2 linked regions of the Oreochromis niloticus genome follow. The protein of the gene in region 1 binds, or shares a complex with, the protein of each later gene. Links are inferred from orthologs where the notes say so. Each region holds a gene or a part of one and is shown in the gene's direction. Other genes may lie near its edges.

Region 1 (4,648 bases):
TGAACATGCCATAAATACACAGTGCCTTCAAAAACTGCCACTAGTTACCAGAAAAAACATTTTAACAGGTGACACTGTTTACAGACAGAACTTCATTCCCAGTTTGCATAATTTTAACTCTAATGTCTGTATGTACAGTACAGTAACAGCACAGTAGTAAGTAAGTACAGTAATCTGACAAATGTTGGCCTTGGGGAGAGTAAAAAGAGTAAAAGAGAAGACAAAAAATAATTAAACAAAAAATATATACACAACTTTTGTCAAGTGTATGTATATATATATATATATATATATATATATATATATATATATATATGAGCACTTTTTTAAATTTACAAGCATCATAATTGGCACCGACCTTCAATGTTGTTAGCAAATGTTATTTTTTTCTTAATAACAGCTATAAGGTATGAAAGATATAGGTGGACACGTAGGCAGCCCACAATAAATTAAGAATATGTAAAGATCTGCTCAAATATTATTTTTACTTTCTTAATATTTATCCTGCTCAGTATGAGGCTTCAGCCCTCTACTGCCTCAGTGCTACTGCATGGTGAGAGGGTCCAATACAATGTAAAGACAAAACAATCAGTGGTCCATGGAGGTAGACGAGCATGCACATGCATCTTATTATGGATTAGGCTAAATATTATTCCATAATTAATCTGTAACAGCTTCCCCAGGCTGTGACCCGGTTGTTATCAGAACTCTGACATTATGATCCCCGGCATCTGCAGCCCAATATGCACTTGTCATACCACTGTTCTCTCCAGGAGAATCATTCACTCATTGGTGAAGTGCTGAAAATAAAATAACCAATAGGCTGCTCAACATTAAAAAAAGAGTATCATTGTAAACTATTTCTTAAAACAATAATTCTTATGTTAAATTAAACAATTAGTTTAAAGACATGAGTGTGCAGTTGTAGTTTAATTTATTTATTTACTGTAATATTTTAAAACTAAAAAGTTAAAAACTACGACTACATTAACCAATTAGCTTTACATAATATAAATGTATCATTAAAAAAATCATTAAAAGTATAACCAAAAAGTTTCACACTTGCTATGGCAATTTGTATCTTTCTCATTTCTTCTGATACAAGAAAATCAATGATATTGGGTTCACTTTTTTACTATAAAATATTTAGTTGTAAAGTTTTAAATAAGTTGCGGCTGTATTATAAAATTACACTTTAGCTACTTTCCAGTGTGATTTGTATATCCTAAGTCTAGTTTCTTCAGGAACTACATTTCCCAGAAACGCTCGCAAGCATATCGAAGGCCTGCGTCACGTGTGTTCCCAGTTTCCGGTTGAAGTGTAAATGGATACATGACACAGTTGTTTGGGGGGAAAAGCTATCTTCAGGAAAATCGTTAACGTCCACAAATTCGTCAGCGGGATTTTGACATCGCACCGACCGACTGACAGCTCCGTGTAGATTCGGCCGCGATGGAGGCGGTCCCCCGGATGCCGATGATCTGGCTGGATCTGAAAGAGGCTGGGGAGTTCCAGTTCAGCCCGTCCGTGAGGCAGGTGAGCTGGGTGGGGAGTGGAGCAACAGGGCTGAGGTCGAAAGTCAACCAAACAAGGATTATGAACGAAGGGATGACCTTATCAAGAGGGTGCCGCTAGCCATAACTCAAAGCAACAGTTGTCGCTACCTGTCGAGGGTAAAAGAATTTTCCAGAACGGGTAGCTGACGTGCTAGCAAAGGTCTGTGTCAGGCAAACCCCTCCTGCTCACTGCCTTTGTTTGCTAACGTTAGCGAGCTGCTTGCTAGCTGGTAATAAGCTAAAAACTCAAGTTGATATTTAGCTTTCAGCTAAGTGGCTAGCTCTGTAGGAATCGATCAAAATACTGCCAACGCGAAAGGCATATGTGCGTATTTCTAGGACTCCTACATCTCGAGTCAGCCTTCCGACATGAGAATATTAAACAATGATCTCATTGTCACATGCACCTGAGCGAGCGGAGCAGTTTGTACTATTCAAACTACCAGCCTGCTTAATAGTAAACACGGGTTTACATAAGCTTCTATAACGAAATACACAGGGAAAGTTGTCACTACACCTGTGACGCTACTTCTTACCTTAACCGTAAGAAAGGTGAACTATCCTGTTATGTAGCGCATGTTAAAAACAAATAAAGCCATGTAAAAACAGAAACAAACAAAATTATAGAGGACAAATATGGAAGATAAAGACCCTTTAAAAAAGAGGAAGAACGAAAAGTTTCGGGCCCTTTTTTGGTGCCTTCAAATCCATTCTGGGAGAAAACCTTGTGTATGTGAGCATCCAAGTCCAAGCTTTGTTTTTCCTGTTGGGCGACATTACAACCTTCATGTGTTAGAAGAACCTATTCCTGTATGGTGTCAAAAAGGGATTTCGCTTTTAGCTTGGGAAAAAAAAGAAAGAAAATTAAATATTAACAGATTTTTTTTAGGCCTACTGCTTCCAAAGCTCATCTCGGATATTTAAACTCCAGATCATTTGACTGCTTATTAAAGCTGGTATCATCTTTATCTGGTGACTCATTTGTCTTCCCAAACGTCTTCCTCATGCACGTAAAAGGACTTTGTCCTCATGACTAAATACAATAATCAGAGGGGTTATGTGGTTGGTTTGGTTTGTTTGTTAGCAAATCGTTATGGCGCAGAGAACAAAATTGCACTTGTGAGATCATTGTTTCACAAATGTATGTCAGATTTATCTAAGCAAATTTGAGAGACGTTATCTTGATGTTTCCACAAAAATGTCACAAACTGATCTGGATCCAGACATCCTTTTAGATCCAAGGATTCACTTCATACATGGTGTGGAGTATATTTTTAGCCACTGTGGAGGTGGAGATGCAGTTTCAGACTTTCTTATTAGTAATTCTTTTTGGTAATAGTAAGACTTATTTTGATTTAATTTAGCGACAGAGTGTTTTTTTAAAAAAATACTAAGAATGATTATTGTATTATTTTTATTGGCCTTAAAAGTGTAGCCTTTAAATAAGGGGTAGTCGATCAGAACAACATTATTTTAAAAATGTATCTAAAATGCCAACATTTTCTCTGTTTACCCCAAACTAATGCACAATAGCACATATTTGGCCTGAAGGAGTAACAACATGACTGTGTCTGTCTTCTTGCTTTGTCATTGTGAACTTTCCATGATTGAATTAAAATTGAAACAAAAGCACTAGTAGAAGAATGAGTGTATCTGCAGGGCTGTTTACCTCCTGACCTGACAATTAGTAGCTTAAAGCTTATTGTAGTGGCTTATGGGGGACAGTGTGAGTCCTGGCAAAGCATGATGGGAAGTCTTGAAGCTCCAAGAGTCTAAGTGCTTGGCTTATGCTCAAGACTAAAGATTAACATAATGAGTAATAAGCCCCAGTTCAAAGACATTTGAATTTTTTTTTTTCTAAACAATTTAACCCTCAGTATTAGAAATGATATATTTATTTCTGTATTAGGATCTAACCCTTCATTTAATTTTGTTTTTACCTGATTTTCAGCAGCACATTCACCTCCTTTTTGCTTCTGCTTCTTTTTCTCTAGTTCATCTTAAAGAACTATGGAGAGAATCCGGACAACTACAACGAACAGCTGAAGAAACTGGAGACGCTGCGGCAGGTGAGCACTGTGTCAAAGTATTCTCAGTCAGATTTCTGTGACTCGGACTTGTCCATCGTTATGTGGGTTGCTATTGAATATAGTGAAACTGACTGTTAGGCATCTGAAATTAAGTGTTCCCAACTTCCAGGCATAGTTCACATATGACTATGAATCCTTACTGGGATATTGCCGGGGTTATAGTGTTTGTTGCAGGACGCCGTGTTCTGTTGACAGTTCTTCTTTCCCACCATTGCCAAGTGCTTCTTCACAGGGGATCTTTTGATTATTGGGATTCTCTCTCTAACACTGCAGGGTCTATACTTTTCACTATAAAGCACCTTGAAAGGACTGTGTAAATAAAATTGTGATGAATAAACTGGGTTATCACATAAAGTCATTAATATTTAACCTTAACAATCACAATCCCAACCAGATGGTAAAAGAAACCTCCATCCAGTGCATCACAACTACAAACTGTCTGTTTTGTGATGAGGGTAAGATCATCATGTATAGTCATATGTGTGCAGTTTTACATTAATAGTAATATTTCCATGTGGACAGGGATTTTCAATACAAAAGATTCTGATACAAGTTATTAATCATATCATAATGAGGCCTTTGGAAGTGTTGCCAAGGAAAATGATAAATTCTGAGCATTAAGCACTGAAACCCATTGTTATATAATTCATCGCTGGGCTGGGTCACAGCATCTTTGCAAGAGTAATGATTTTTTGTAGCTGATTAAACACAACAGAAACACAATGTTTGTGTCTGCTTCGCAGAGCGCAGTGAATGTGACGAGGGATTTCGAGGGATGCAGCACACTGAGGAAGTACTTTGGCCAGCTGCATTATCTGCAGAGCCGAGTGCCCATGGGAACTGGCCAGGAGGCTGCAGTACCCGTCTCATGGTAATAACACACAGAAATCCACAGAAATTGTATGGAGTGTTTACACACACCCATCCAACTGCAGTCTGTACTGCTGAACACCAGAGAAGCTTATTTTAGAGACATGCTCACTGCAGCTTGCTCGTATAGAG
Region 2 (4,648 bases), on another chromosome or scaffold:
AAAAGTTAATAAAAGTGCTCTTCTGCATCATCAAAAACAGAGGTTGACTATCTAAAAATGGAAAAGAGGAAGTGAGCAATTGTACTCAGTTTCATTTAATTTCAGTTTTATCTTTCAGTTTTATTTAGTTTTATCATTTCTCCTATCATTATTATTATTATTATTATTGATACATTACAAACCAATAATAAAGTCATTAAGACTTTTATTAGTCTTTCATATCTGCTTGAGCACGTTACATTCTCCTATGGTAGGTTTGCATCCATTACTACAGTCACTGTTTTGCACTTTCCCGATCAGTAATTACAGGAACTGTTTATATTGCTTTTACCACTGCGTTATTAAAACTGCAGCCGGGTCTGCGAGTACGGAGGGGTTAAAAGAGTTTGGGTGCTTTTACACATCACATCCCATTTCATTGATCACCTCTGACGGTGCTGCATCGTGCTGATCAATTCCTCCATGCCTGTCATCCTCTGCGAGGGCTGGCAAGGTTACAGAGAGCGGGGATGAATGGCCATTTTGGCTCTAGGGTGTCGTGAGCGGGACGGAGCCGCGGACCCGCCCCGGGGCTCAGCACCTCACCCTCCGCTCCGTTTGAGCCAAAATGTCCCTGCTGCTGCTGCAGCGGCGGCGGCTGGACCACAGTGCAGGCTGGACGGAGCTGAACGGTTGGAGGTTTGTCAAGTTTGACACTAAGAGTTGGTTCAACACCGGAAACTGCGCGATTGTTTACGGGAAAGTAAGAGCTCAGAAATTAAACCTTAATAATAAGTGGGAATGGCAGTAAATCATATGTTACATACACGTGATAAAAGGCTATAAAGTGTTGTCCTTTGCAGAGCCTTTAGTTGCTTAAGTCATTTCTAAATAAAAAATACAGTCTGTTCCTCCTTTGCAAATATGTATGGGTTTAGCCTAATATTATAGACTGTCGAATAGATTTGGACACAGCCAGACCTTTCACTATATTACTTTTAAATTTCCTTATTTGAAAAGCATTTTTTTCCTGTTTTATAAACAAGCAAATAGTCAAATCTCTCCCTAATATTTAGGGTATTTCCCTTACAACACCATGAGGTGACTGTGGTGTAGAAATAAAACTGAATGAAATCATATTTAAAATTTGGGATGTTTTGTATTTCTTTTCCTGTAAATTTGCTAGTTGTTCTTTTTTTTCATTCATTATCTGTTGAATATATTCTTCTTCTTATTATTTAATACTAACATGGACTGGCTTTTACTGAAAGACACCTCCAAACATGTTTTAAGAATAAAAAAAGGAAAAAGAACTTTCCTGAAAAGGGTATTTGTTTATCTAGTTATAAAATAATACAATAACAACTTACACGTAAAACGTAGACACTTTGCTGTTACAGTATCAAAAAGATGGGTTGTTTTAATCGATATATTATCTGTAACCGAATTGCTTGTTTTCCTTAAATGTAAACATAGTAATTATAATTGTGGGTGGTTGGTTTATTTTATAAGCAGTTTGAAACAAAAACAACTAAGGATAAAAGAAAAGTAATGATGATATCCAAATTAATTAGATCTGCATTCACAGTTTTTCTCTTGGCGTTATAATGTAACCTCTAAGGGAGATGCTTTGCGTCTTATTTTGAAAACCGGTAGTTTAGGATTTCCATTTTGGCTAACTTACCGCTGCTCCTTCTTTTCCCCAGTATTAAACCTTGGGGGAGGGATCCTTGAGTGCTGCTGTCGCACAACTACGCTAGACTAGAAGCTTTACTTTTCGACTGTTTGAATCAGGCAGGCAGGCGGTGGTGGGTCTACGTGAGGCGGATACTCAAAAATAGCTCTGAAAGGCGATCAGGTATGGCGGATGCTAACGGAGGGGCTCCGCGGGACTTTACGTAAAGATGAGGATTCCTCCGGTGAGTAACTGGATTTGTTTTCGTGACATTTCACGGGTCTGCTGTTGCTTCAACGTTTACAAAACCGCCATTGCAACGCCAACTATCGATGCAGCCCAAGTGAGCGTGGACGGCTGCGGTGCTATCTTTTTTGGCGTATTTGGTGGATAAACGGTGAGGAATATGGAGAAGGTGCCGTTACGGTAACACTATATCTTACGTCTATTACACAACGCGCTCTCCTTTGCATTGCGAGCTGCGGATAGACAGCCAATGAGGTTGATAGCAGTGCGACAGGAGGAAAATACTTTGGTGTGGGTGACTTAATGTGAGGAGGAAGGCTTTTTATGGTTTCTATTAACCGTTATGACTGGCCATTAGCAACGGAACCCACCGAGTGACGGCGTGAGTGTCCGCCAGCGCAGCAAGTCTCTCCCGTCACTCGGCGCACGACTGCCCGCTCAATCTTTAGGTCTATTTCTAGCTTTCTCCAGTACAGCCAGCTGCTTTTAAGTGCTATTATTTGACGCCTAAAATCTCAGTTTTTGCCACACTGCTAAGACGAATGGGTCAGAATTGTTTTGGGAACTTAACTCGTGGCCTTTTTCGTGAATTTGGTTAAATTCAGCTAGCTGCCCAGCTAATACAACTACCCAAGTTAACAAACAAATAGACAAACACTTCACCGCTGCTGTTGTGTAGCTGCACCAGTTTAACCCACCTTCTTTTAATGACACAGAGTAGCTTTCCATGTGTTTTCCCAGTCTAACTGAGAGTGATCTTCATCCAGCGAGGCTGTGTTTGGCCTGCAGGCAGCAGGCACAGCCACAGTGCCACTTACGGTTGCATAATCCAAGCAAGTGGTCATCTATGCGCTCTCAAGGGTTGGTTTGGTGAGCTTTCCTGGTGCTACATCTTTGGTCTCTTTGCTTCTGACCAGGTCTTGGATGGTGAAGAATTTCAAAATCAACTCGGAATATGTTAAAAAATGTGCAGTTCAGTTAGGATTACTTTAAAAAAACAAAAAAAACAAAAACGTTTTGATTAGGTAAGTTATGCTTCTCAGGTTGAACAGTGCTACTTATGATTTCATAAGCTAATCAAATGGTCATCTATCTGCTCTGCACAAGTGCACATCTACAGTAAAGACCATGATCTTATTTGACGGATCTGTATCTTTTATCCTGGCAATTTCATAAAAAAATGATATTATGCCTTTAAAAATAAAATCCTTACACTTTCTAATAGATTTTAATAATACAAGGGGAAGGTGGGTTTCCCTTTGGTGCTGGCTTGAACCCCTCTGGTGGGTCAAGGAAATTCAGGTTACAAAATAATGGAAAACTAATTTAAAAATGGGTTATAGTAACATTTAGACTGGATTTTGATTAATGCTCTGCTCTATGTCAAAGTCCTCTCTTATCTATCTGCTGATGATGAGCAGTTTAAACATGGTCTGGTGCAAAATATTTGCAACACAAGTCTCTTCCTTTACAGCTCCCTGAATTACTGACCTCTTATGTCAGTGAGTAGTCTCTTACCCATTATGCTTTTCCTGTTTTTTGCCACTGTTACATGAGTGGATGTTCATATTACATATGCTCAAAGTTTTACAAAAATGAAAAAAGGTGAAGTAATGAAATAATGTCAGTGTTGTATATACAAGAAACCACTGTGAGTGAGTTGGTTTTGTATCTATGGTAGTTTAGTCCAAACAAACTTTTAACAGGTTTCTTGCTGATGCGACTTTTGCATTTGTTGTCCAGACTTTAGTCCAGGCCTGGAGGTGGATTTATCCAGAAGTAGGCCTGTCCCAGGGGCACCTTGAATAGTCATCAGCAGCGGCAAATTAAAAAATGAATTTGGGACCAAAGAAAAAGCCACGTCACCACCAGATATCCAAATGTATGTTTATTAATCATCTGGTACTAGATGGTATTTGGCAATGTTGATGTGAAAGTTGGTTTTTTTTCCCATGAAGCATTAAGATATCCCACTTCATCTTCAGGTGGTTATAAATCCCAGTGAGGATGTGTGATTCGACTGATCCAACAGACGTCCGTGCAGAGACGAGCTCTCATGTGTGCAGAGACGTCCCAGATGTAGGTTACTGTATGCTTTCAGAAAGAATTACAAGTCTCCCCAATGGCAGACCAGCAGCCAGTCTCCCTGTGCTGATTTTTCTTTCTTTGTAGTGGTGGTTAAATGTAGATCAAACATGAGGGAGAAAGGAAGCTCGTAATAGCTTCTGACACGTTCTGTGAAGCAGAGCAGCTCTTTATAACAGGAGGACAGCTACTTTCCTCCTTCCTCCTGAAGGTAAATCTCAGGGGATTTAACTTTTTCAACCTCCTGTCAAAGAAATTATTTTATTTTTAAGCGAGCGTGACCTTTCAGAGAATACAAACCTGTGGCATGTTTTCCTTTTATGTGTTTTTGCTTTTATTTATTTTGTCTTGAAGAGCAGAAAAAAAAGCTTAAAGGAGTAGAAGGAGGAGGTAGGACAACTCCCAGTGTACTTCCAGCCTGGGCGTTAAGCATAGCACACATTACATAATAATGTGTCACTCAGTCAGGCGATCATGCTGGTAGAAAGTGATGTCAGTCTATTCTTAAAGAGAGGAAGCGATCACTTGAGGTTTCCTGTGTTCACCCTTAGACGGCGTCTGGAACGCGGCGGTGCTGGATGTGGAGCTAAAAACATTGTTTCTCAGGATGTGAGATCGTAGTCCTGGGAATTCTTATAGCATCAGAAAAAATGGGAAATTCAA

The links.
Region 2: the proteins of ptpn23a (region 1) and zfyve9a are in contact, whole or in part, in a crystal structure (PDB 5MJY), measured with the Homo sapiens proteins. The link is inferred for Oreochromis niloticus from reciprocal best matches to the Homo sapiens genes PTPN23 and ZFYVE9. Residues at the interface, in NP_056281.1 of Homo sapiens: Phe62, His125, Glu137, Lys141, Val142, Cys144, Thr145, His146, Gln148, Cys149, Leu189, Lys192, Ser193, Asp196, Arg198, Lys199, Leu202, Arg205, Ile206, Ala336, Leu338, Leu342, Asp348, Ala350, Val351; in NP_004790.2 of Homo sapiens: Glu2, Tyr4, Phe5, Gln6, Glu8, Ala9, Leu12, Asp13, Val15, Leu16, Asp17, Phe19, Glu20.

The regions. Positions count from the first base shown.
Region 1 is NC_031976.2:31,629,081-31,633,728, forward strand, and holds the start of ptpn23a (tyrosine-protein phosphatase non-receptor type 23), read left to right. Parts: upstream 1-1,288; 5' UTR 1,289-1,452; coding exon 1,453-1,536; intron 1,537-1,571; exon of another isoform or gene 1,572-1,716; intron 1,717-2,092; exon of another isoform or gene 2,093-3,421; intron 3,422-3,550; coding exon 3,551-3,625; intron 3,626-4,389; coding exon 4,390-4,517; intron 4,518-4,648. UniProt on the Homo sapiens protein: Plays a role in sorting of endocytic ubiquitinated cargos into multivesicular bodies (MVBs) via its interaction with the ESCRT-I complex (endosomal sorting complex required for transport I), and possibly also other ESCRT complexes.
Region 2 is NC_031982.2:25,242,815-25,247,462, reverse strand, and holds the start of zfyve9a (zinc finger FYVE domain-containing protein 9), read left to right. Parts: upstream 1-1,636; 5' UTR 1,637-1,898; intron 1,899-1,928; exon of another isoform or gene 1,929-2,051; intron 2,052-2,598; exon of another isoform or gene 2,599-3,635; intron 3,636-3,643; 5' UTR 3,644-3,782; intron 3,783-3,885; 5' UTR 3,886-3,979; intron 3,980-3,985; exon of another isoform or gene 3,986-4,648. UniProt on the Homo sapiens protein: Early endosomal protein that functions to recruit SMAD2/SMAD3 to intracellular membranes and to the TGF-beta receptor.